Linked DNA regions of Drosophila melanogaster. The protein of the gene in region 1 binds, or shares a complex with, the protein of each later gene. Each region holds a gene or a part of one and is shown on either strand. Other genes may lie near its edges.

The links. Proteins that work in one complex are often made in the same cells at the same time.
Region 2: Nprl2 (region 1) and mio share a complex: the UniProt entries of both Drosophila melanogaster proteins name them as parts of the GATOR complex.

The regions. Positions count from the first base shown.
Region 1 is NC_004354.4:16,882,006-16,886,318, reverse strand, and holds Nprl2 (nitrogen permease regulator-like 2), read left to right. Parts: upstream 1-1,953; 5' UTR 1,954-2,078; coding exon 2,079-2,255; intron 2,256-2,317; coding exon 2,318-2,824; intron 2,825-2,912; coding exon 2,913-3,467; 3' UTR 3,468-3,635; coding exon of another isoform or gene 3,636-3,709; 3' UTR 3,710-3,800; downstream 3,801-4,313. Other genes in the region: DENR (density regulated protein), read left to right, coding at 1-1, 91-352, 518-705; Polr3I (RNA polymerase III subunit I), read right to left, coding at 803-1,243, 1,303-1,455, 1,519-1,633, 1,711-1,718; CG4872 (uncharacterized protein), read right to left, coding at 3,636-3,709, 3,801-3,998, 4,069-4,313. UniProt on the Drosophila melanogaster protein: An essential component of the GATOR subcomplex GATOR1 which functions as an inhibitor of the amino acid-sensing branch of the TORC1 signaling pathway.
Region 2 is NT_033779.5:2,215,572-2,221,171, reverse strand, and holds mio (missing oocyte), read right to left. Parts: upstream 3,883-5,600; 5' UTR 3,746-3,882; coding exon 3,628-3,745; intron 3,575-3,627; coding exon 3,401-3,574; intron 3,343-3,400; coding exon 3,091-3,342; intron 2,999-3,090; coding exon 2,068-2,998; intron 2,012-2,067; coding exon 1,456-2,011; intron 1,396-1,455; coding exon 914-1,395; intron 853-913; coding exon 762-852; 3' UTR 547-761; downstream 1-546. Other genes in the region: CG42371 (uncharacterized protein), read left to right, coding at 4,030-4,159, 4,213-4,346; CG15386 (uncharacterized protein), read left to right, coding at 4,364-4,597; daed (daedalus), read left to right, coding at 4,947-5,600. UniProt on the Drosophila melanogaster protein: An essential component of the GATOR subcomplex GATOR2 which functions as an activator of the amino acid-sensing branch of the mTORC1 signaling pathway.

The DNA.
Region 1 (4,313 bases):
GGTGAGTTCGTCTTCAAACCTGGGAAAAATCCATATTAGGGATCATATATGGCCCATATATTTACATATATATATATCCACTATACGCAGTACTGCGAGTACTATCCGGAGTACGAGAAGTGCAAGGAGTGGCTGGAGCTCCACATGCCCGATGACTTCGAGCGACTAAAGATTGAGGAGGAGGCTGCCGCCGCTGACGGGACGGATGACGACAAGAAGCGCCAGAAACGCGGTGGCAAGGGACTGTTGCGCGTCAAGAAGAAAGAGGACGTGCCCAAGCGTATCTGCGTCTCGCGGGCGGCACGTGGCAAAAAGAAGTCAGTGACCGTGGTCACAGGATTGAGCACTTTTGGTAGGTTCTGTTCGCACATTATGAGTATAGAGTAGGAAATGGAGGGGGATGCGGGCCCACTGGATGCTATGAGTAGCCATTACCATACCATGTAACTTAGATATATTAGATATACTTATGAGCTTTATTGTTAACTAAGCATAATACATTCCCTGTCTGTTCCAGATATTGATCTCAAGGTGGCCGCCAAGTTCTTTGGCACGAAATTTGCCTGCGGCTCCTCGGTTACCGGAGACGACGAGATCGTCATTCAGGGTGACGTCAAGGATGACTTGTTCGATGTCATACCCGAAAAATGGGCCGAGATCGATGAGGACGTCATCGAGGATTTGGGCGATCAGAAGCGAACATAAATAATTTACCTTTTTTTTTAGCTTATTTTATACGCTCCATCAACATAAATATATGAAACGTTAAACGTAATAAGCGGATGGGTTATTTTGGCGGCTGCTACCCGAGGTTTTCTCCATCTGGTGTCGGATTGGACTTGGTTTCCATTGAAGTGGGTGCATCCGTTGCAGGCGCTGTAGTGGCTTCATTTGCTGGAGTAGCATTATTTTCTGAAGACGATGTTTCCACTGGGCTTGCTTCTTCTGCTGGAGTAGTAGTAGTGGCTTCACTTGAAGGAGTAGCGACATTCGCAGGAGTAACTCCATCACCTGGCGTGGTTTTGTCCGCTGGAGCTATTTGTTCCGCTGGATTGGATTTTGCCTGGGCATTACGCTTTACGCCAGATTGCTTGCCGGCCTTCGCAGTGGACTCCGCAGGCTTTTCCGCCGGTGTTTCCTTAGCAGCGCCTTTGGTTTCTCCACCATGGAAGTGTTTGTAGCTCAGCTGAATGATTTTCTCGTTCTCCTCATCGGTTAGTGGAGCTTTATTGTCGTCGATGAGCTGGGGAGGTTATTATATACTTAATTAGCCTTTCTGGCATATGATAGACTAATCCTTACCAGTTGCGTGTGTAGTGCACTTGTAGGCGGATCGTTGATCATTTGCAGGATCTCTTGGGACTTTAGACGATAAGAAGACAGGTCTTTAACGTAATTCATAATGTTCTCACGAGTTTGTGTCTTGCAGGGCGACTCCTCCAGATACTGCAGTGCCTGTGGAACAAAGTGTTTGGTTAATTTATCATATATTAGTTAAATATTTAAAAAAATCGACACCTCATAGGTAACCGTGGCCAAGTTGCGCATGCCGAACTTCTTTTTGGTGCTTTTGATCTTCTGTAGAATCTGCATTACCTCCAGATTGGTGAGGTACGAGAACGTGGGATTGATCCTGAAATGGAAGCGTTATCATCTGCATATTATTCGCTGTTTAATGGAAAAACTAAATAAAAACAAAACAATCCTCACGTTTCCATTTCTGCAAATTTTAGTATGACCGCAGAGCGAGCGCTAAAATATACCCCACCTACGCATATTACAGTTGGCCTTTATATATTAACATAACAGATAATTTATACATGAATAAAACGATCTACTCAACAAATTAAATGGTGTTGAATTAATTTGTTGTTAAAATTTGTTATAATTGGTTTTTGCATTGGAGTATATTTGTTGCAGTAAGGCTATGGTCACACTAAAGCATCGCTTACCATAACATTACAGCGAATTCCGCCACTGTTATTGGATTGTGCCACCTGCTGTTAAAGCTTTGGAGTCCACTCCGCGGAAGGAAGCAGAGGATGTGGATGCGGTGATACTGGAATCTTTTGAACGGCATGCATTCCCATACGAATGAGACGGCTGCGACGTCGACAACGGCGGGCGCGGTCACGAATGGAGCAGGCGGATCAGGAGCTGGAGCAGCGGGTGCCCATGGCAGCACGGAGGGCAAGATCCGGTGCATCTTCCTCAGCGAGTTTCATGCGACGGCGGGCTGCAAGATAAGCTGCCAGGTGAGCTGGTTCCCAGGAGCGCTGATAACGCAGTATAGTTCGAACAAATCCACGTCCCTCAGGTTCCTGATAACTACATATCCAAGGATGTGTTCGATGCTATCAATGTTTACATCATACCCAAGCAGCATCTTCAACGCTGCATTCTCACCGTCAACGCAATGGATGTAAAGATAGTCGGCTATCCAGTGGGCATCCAGGATCAGCAGAAGTACGCACGGAATGCCTTCCTGTTTAACCTATGCTTTGTCTGCGACTCGCGGGCCAGGAGCGTCCAGTACGAGCCGGTCGTCAAGAAGCTGTCCGAGTACCTCATAATGATGGAGGAGGAGTCGTGCTTCCTGTCTCGCGAAGATGACAAGCGCCGCCTACAGAACATCTTTGAGACTGTACTACGCGACCTTAACGAGCGGAAGGTGGCCACCATTGTTGAGGGCGATAACACTATATACCTGAAGATCGTCATGCACAAGCCGGACCCGCCGCCGGTCAAGGATCACATGGTGCCCCTGCTGCTGGCGAACCTGCGCGATGCTCCGCTGGACAACTGGGACCTTACCACACAACAGGTGCGGACTATTCCTGATTCTATAGTTATACAATCTTCACGATGTAAATAATTTAGTAATCCCATTGGACTGTTATGGTTTCCTCTAGATCCTGCCTTATATAAATGGAATCAACCATGTTGCCCGCATTGCCGCCGAAGCGGACGTGGAAACGGACCTGGTCAAGTCGTGCATACAGAATCTGGTCTACTACGGGGTCGTTCAGCTGCTGCCAATCCTGAAGTACAGCAACGTGTACATGACGCAGAACCTAAAGCATCTCATCCAGAGCGCATCACTGAGCGGCGCATGCCGGAAATACGTGGCCTTGCGTCCGGACAAGACGCTGCCCAGTGTTCAGCGCATCTTTCAGTTCTACGCCTCGATGACTCACGGCGTTACTCTGCGAGCGATCTGCCAGAGATTGTGCCCCCAGCACCACAACATCGATGAGCGTCGCATGGTGATCTTCGGGCTGCAGCACCGATTCATTCGCTGCATCCACAAGTACCCGGTGTTTACGGGCTCAGTGCCTTCCGGGCGGCAGAAGATGTACACCGGGCTGATCAGCTTTGACGAGATCTGCTGCAAGACGGGCCTCTCGCCCTGCACCATCGAGCGGGATATCGAGAAGGACACGAATGTGACTGTGATCTGGAAGTGACGACCGGAAGGACTTCTCCGGCCAGTTGGGTTTGTTGTAGTTTGTAAGCGAACCGATTGTTATGTTTCCAAATGCTTTTTTATATACGCGCATATACACATTAAAGTTTAAGAATTCACTGGTTTGGCTTGGGCTGGTTCCGGAATCGCTTTGCCAGCTGGACAGCAATCAGGAATCCTTTGCGCTAGAGATAATGCAATCCTGAACCGCCTGGGCCACACAGGCGTCCTCCGAGGCCATGCCTTAAATAGGAAATGTATGAAATTTTTAATGATACAACTTTGAAACAGACAGAGATAGTCATATAGTTACACAAACTTAATAAAAACGCACCCATGGATTGAAAGATGCTGATTTCTAGCTCCTTGGGATAGTTTCCATCCAGAATGATCTGACCCACTTCAGCGGTGATCGGCGCAGGTAATCCCACCAATTCAGCCTCGGCATTGGCATAGCAATCCACGTAGACCTTGGCCTGCTGGTAAATCTTTGGAGCCACCTCCGAAAAGTGAACTTCGCCGGCTCCCACAGCTGAAATCGAAAGTTATAAAGGGTAGGTCATCATCATCCATCCAGCATTCCATTATAACAGCAGACCTACCGTTAATATGAACAGCCCGTTTGGATTTCAGATCTGCCAACTGGATAAGCGGCTCCTTGGAGTACGTGGCGATGCAGATGATATCGGCATCCTGGCAAGCTTCGTGAGGACTTGGACATACAGTAATCTGGGTTCCGCTCTCGGTGTTCAATTTCTGCCGCAGTTGGTCCGCTAAACCCAGTGCCTTTGCCTGCGTGCGATTGTAAAGATTAAGCTGCCTCACCCGGAAGTTCGCGCAGAAAGCG
Region 2 (5,600 bases), on another chromosome or scaffold:
TTGGGAGTTCTTAATGGGAAACCCGTTTTCGGGCACTCAGATTGGACAAAAGCCTCAGGTGTAGACACGAATGAGTTGAAAAGGTCAAGTAACTAAATATCGCTATTTTCAAAGCTATCATGTACAAATATTTAATCTTAACTGCCAGTTAAAGTGCTGTGCTCAAATTCCGTAGCACTCACATGCTTTATGGAAATTTGTACCCCCACCCACAACTTACCGTCTTTATATTATATCTTGTGTATCGGCACTGTCTTTTGGTTTAATCTATTCACTATATCTTGATTTGTTTGTTCAGGCGTTATCACATAATGTTATTAACCATTCACTTAAGCCCTACGAGTGGAAGCACTTTTTCTGCACATTTACGTCAGAAAGCAACAAAAAATAATAACGCCGCATAAAAACGTGCGAAGCGGTGTGACCGTTATCAGTTCCAACAAGAATGCTAATAAGTACTACCTGAAAGTGTTGCAAAACACGAAACTATAACGGTTTCAACTTTCAAAAGAAAAGCTGAGAAATATCTATAGTAATTTGTCGCACATAGTCCTTTATTTGAATGTAAGTATAAAATGCAATTGAGCAGCTAAAAGCTGGTAGGTCATAAACACTAATGCTACGGGCACATCCCTTGTCTAAGTACAATGAACACTTCTGAGTTTGTTTAAGGCGCACGCGTTTGGAACAAATCAACAACTTAATGCATATGCATATGGCCTGGGCGAGTAAGGGCTGTGTATGGTGGGTGCTCCGGACAGCTAGGAAATGTCTCTCAATGTGTTCGGCTTGGTGCCGTCCATGTCGAAGCAGCGGCAGTTGCACGACGACACGGGGCACTCTGAATTTTGCCTGGCAAATAAACGCGTACATTGGTCAGAATTCAATTAAATATTGGTAACTTTGAACTCACTTGAACCACTGCATGATGTGCTCGGTGTGTCCGCCGTGGCGACAGGTCTGACACCAGGAAAACCACTTTGAGAAGGGCTTGGTCTGCCAGCCGGGCACGTCGGGCGTGGTGGTCGGGGTCTCCCCATTGCTCATGTTCACCATTGTGCCCATGTGCATTAGGCAGAGCGAGCAGCGGGGCAGGGGTTTCCGGCAGCTGGGGCATGAGGAGAGCCTGTTGGTGCTGGTGGTGGTGCTCCGTGGACGCGGCTCGTCCAGCAAGGCGTTGGACACAGACTTGCCGCAAAAGTTGCACGACAGAAATACGGTGCGGGAACTGCGGGAGGATGGGCGGATGCTCTCGATCTTGATGTCCAGCTCGGCCCGCTTCTCCCACAAGCCCCAGCTATTGAGGTGATCCAAGTAGCTGGCGATCCAGTACTGGATGCGCTTGTCCTCGAAAAGCTCTTGCCGGAAGTAGTTAATGGCCACCAGGGCTACCGTCTAAGAAACAGCTCAATGTATATCAAAGTTTCTACATATGTTTTTATAGCGCACGCTCACCTGCACATCGAAGCTGGTGTCCATATAGGACTGCAGTATATCGATTCCGTCCTGCGACTCTCCAGTGAGCAACAAGCCATTTAGATCGCCACCATCTATGGCCGCCTGGATTTGCTGCGCAACATAGTCAGCCAGCTTGGTCTCCGATAGATATTTGCAGGCGAAGGCCATGCGGTCTGATAACGAAACGCCTTCCTCTTTGAGCACTGCATCAAAATTGTCCTTCTCCATCGTTAGAAAGGAGAAGACAGCCCTTAAGTGTGGATCGTGTATCTGCATGTTGGCGCTGGATCGCTGATTCCGCCACGTGGAACTGCAGCGATCTGCATTGAAACTGGACAAGGCGATGACGGTGATCCTGTACATGCTGGGATCCCTCATGTTGTCCGCCGCCGACGATAGGATGTTGCAGGCATGGAAAATTTTCAAGTGGAACACGCAGATCATGGCTGCCCGGCTGTACTCCTTGTTTGCATACAACTGGTCTATAAAGCGATCCAGCTCCTGCTCAAAGGCCCAACCGCAAAGTTGGAGGGCCAGGTCGCGCTGCTCACTCCTGCATAAAGATTGGGGTTATCACACTCGTCAAACCACAAATTCATATAAACTTACCTGTAGCATATCAGTTTGTTGGAGTTGTTGATGCCCTCTGGCCACTGGAGCACCTGAGATTCAATGCGGGAGCTGGCCATCAAGGCCTCCGAGGTGTGTCCCAAGTTAATGCCCAAAGTGGCCTTTAAGCCCGTCAGTCGATCCTCGCTGTAGACATTGTTCAAAGTGGACCACACATTTCGCAGATACGGTGTCAAGTGGAGTTCGCCGAATCGCTTGTTATCGGGTTTGATGCCGTAATCCTCTAGAGCGCGCTGACGCGTCTCGTCCACCAGATCCAGCTCAAAGAGTTCCGGTTTCAGCAGGTCCACATTGAAGGGCGAACCACCAGGAGTGCTAAAGTCCAGGGAACTCCCGCTATTCGTGCTGCAGCTGCTCGTGGGCTGCTGCTGAGTGGGCGTGGCCGCAGTGGAAGTCGGCGAGGCGGGTGTGTAGAGCGGACGCTGCATCAGAAGTGGCAATTTCCGGCGATTGCTGTGCGCCGTGTGCAAGGTGGCTGGCAGTCGAAAGTCCAGGATGTTCAGCGCATCTGCCAAAAGCAGAGCTCTCTCGAAATCCCTCGAATGCCACGACAGGCAATTAACAAACGAAAACTTTCCACTGTGCTGGTATCTAGCCGGAAAGGGGCTAATCTGTCGTTTTACGTGGTAGATCTCTCCGGAATTGTCCGTGTCCACACTCCGGATGTCGTAGAGAGTGATGTAGGAGGAATCGCGTTGCAGCGAGGAAAGCAGGCTTGTCCTGGTCGGACACCAAGCGATCTGCAAATGGTTTTTCGAGGACTGAATCTGCCTGAGGGGACTCTTGATATTTCGCGGATCCCACAGAGTGATCACCGAGTCCACATAGCTGCAGAGATAGTTGCCATTGGGGGATACGGAAAGTCCCTGCACTGTCTTTGTTTGAATGCTTTGACAGGTGGCGTTACTCTCTGCGAAAGGGATTTAAAGATTTCATCAGTGAAAGGGCAATAAAGTAATACTACGTAGTTGAAATATAACCAGTCGCATTATGTGTACTCACGCCTCAGATCGAACAGCTTTATCATCTTCTGGCTCATTCCCGCAATGACCGTGCGATGATTTCGATCCCAGCAAATGGAGTTGGCCGACTCGCCGACGCCGAAGAAGTTGGCCGTCTCCTTGGGAACTCCACGCTCAATGTCCCAGATGGTGATGCAGGTGTCATTTCGATGGCGATCGTGTCCAATGGCCAGGATATTGGCATCCAGCTCGTTCCAGGCGAGGCAGGTGCACATGCGCTGCTGACGCGGTGCTACGAGAAATGAAGAACTATTAGATGCAGCTAAGAATCGGCGTTGTCGTCCACCCACTGTACTCCCAGCTGCTGTCGTAGGTGTCCCGGAAGTTGCAAATCCCGACTTTGCCATCCGCCAGACCCACTGCAATTATGGGCTGGTCACTGTGGTAGGAGGCGGCCACGCAGCGGGCATATTGATAGCGCGACTCGTTGGCGAGGTAGTTCACGGATATATAAGGCAGGCGACCTGCAAGGGGGGCGGTTAAGTAAAGTGGCATAATCCCTTGGGGAAAACCCTACTTTTTTGGCTGTGATCATCTTTGCGGCGCACTTCGTATAAATGGATTTCCTGGCCCCAGGATACGAATTTGTCGGGAAAATGTGGAAACCAGCTGAGTCCGTGTGTATTGCCGCTCATCGTGGCCGATTTTCCATCGATGTAAAAAAAAACAATTTTCACTACAGACTAAATTGCGTCGCGTTATCAGTTTGCAAAAACAAAAACGTGAGATAAACACTGCACTACATGGCAAGAAGAAGAGGCGCACACACACTAGCCGGTCGACCAGCTGTTGGCCGCATGTTAGCCAGCACTGGCCCAGTTCGATAATTCGTTTTATCGATAAGCTGGTAGGTGATTTTGTTTTCCTTTTTTTTTTGTAAGAAAGCAAACGTGTTTAATATTTACAACTCCCACTTAAAATGCTGCGCAAAACACCAAAACCTGCAATTTGGAAATTCATCAAAGGAAGTGCCAAAACACTGTTTGTCCTCGAGGCAGTCTGCTTCGCAGCCAGCTACGGCGTTTATTATCGCATGAACACGAATCGAGGTGGGAGGATATTTATATAATTATTTTGATCGTTAATAACAATCCGCTCCTAGAGTTTCGTCAGCATATTCACGAGAACTATCCCTTCGTTTTGGACTATTACTACAAAATTGGTGAAATCGTCGGAGACAGCACAGTGCGACAGGCGGATGCGAGTTATTGGAGTGCTTTGAAGAAAAGCGACTAGAGGAGACCGCTTCCAAAATGCTTAGTAATCCCTACTTTAAGTCCGTTTTGTGGCTGATTGGCTTCGGAGGAATGGGGTACGGCCTAATGGTGTTAACCGAGCCGAACGTCGACAAGTTAGAGCGCATCAAAGCCTCCGTTTCAAGTACCAAACTGAGTGCGGATGAGCAGCGAAAGGCTCTGTTTATGAAGAAGCTCCAGGAGGCGTCCACCACCAGTGCCCCAATCTACAGGTCATCGTCCGAGAAATAGGATAGTTAGGAAGCTTAATCGTCATCAATTTATCAATTTGTTATACTTTTTAAATACAAATGTTAAGCATTTAATCTTAATTGGTTGGGTAGGGTGATTCATTAGAAGAAAATTCGATTCGTACAAGAATGCGAAATAGGAAAAAGGAAATAAAATTACTAAATTGTTAATATTCACGTTTTAAATGTTTACAGAGCCCTTACTACTTCTGTTACTTTTAACATAATCTGTTAGGAATCTTGACCACCCCTACTCGCAGTGCTCGTAAACGTCCGATTCTTAACAGCGAATCTAATCTAAGCGCAATTGCATTTTAATGGTAATTTAATTGCCATTATTGACAGAGTTTATGGCAACGAAGACGCACACAATGTCCGCGGGGGATGTCCCCTTGGTGGCGATGGCCAAGGTTCCGCCGACCATTCAGTTTGAGGCCACAAAGAACTTTCACTCGCACACCGAGCAGAAGGAATTGGACAGTGCTTTCCTGGGCTACAATCGACGTCCTTGGGTTCGCCAAAAGGCTCACAGGGACACACGCCGGGAGAGGGAGATCCTCAACGGTCTACTGTGCTCTACCAGCGTGGAAACGGACTACGCCAGCACCTGTGTGGACAAACTTATTGCCGAGAACATTAACTATCTGGATTTGGCCTCTCTCACCGACGAAGATTTGGAACTCTTCGGGTTCAAGTGTCGAAAGCAACGGCAACAGCTCCTGGAGATGTTCGAAAAGATTCCCAACCAGAATCCCAGTTACGAATACATTTGCAACCATCCTGAAGCCGAAAACTACAACAATCAGATTCTGGGCAATGCTGGCAACCACTTTATGTCCCTGCGCGCTTCTTTAGCGGCCACCAACTACAAGCTGCAGGTCTCCACTCCCGAGGACGTCGTGGTGGGCGACAAACGATATGCCAGCTGCTTTGCCCAGGAAACTCTAAAAAGCGTGAATCAGATCACCGAAGAGATTGCCAAGGATCTCGCGAAAATCGAAGCT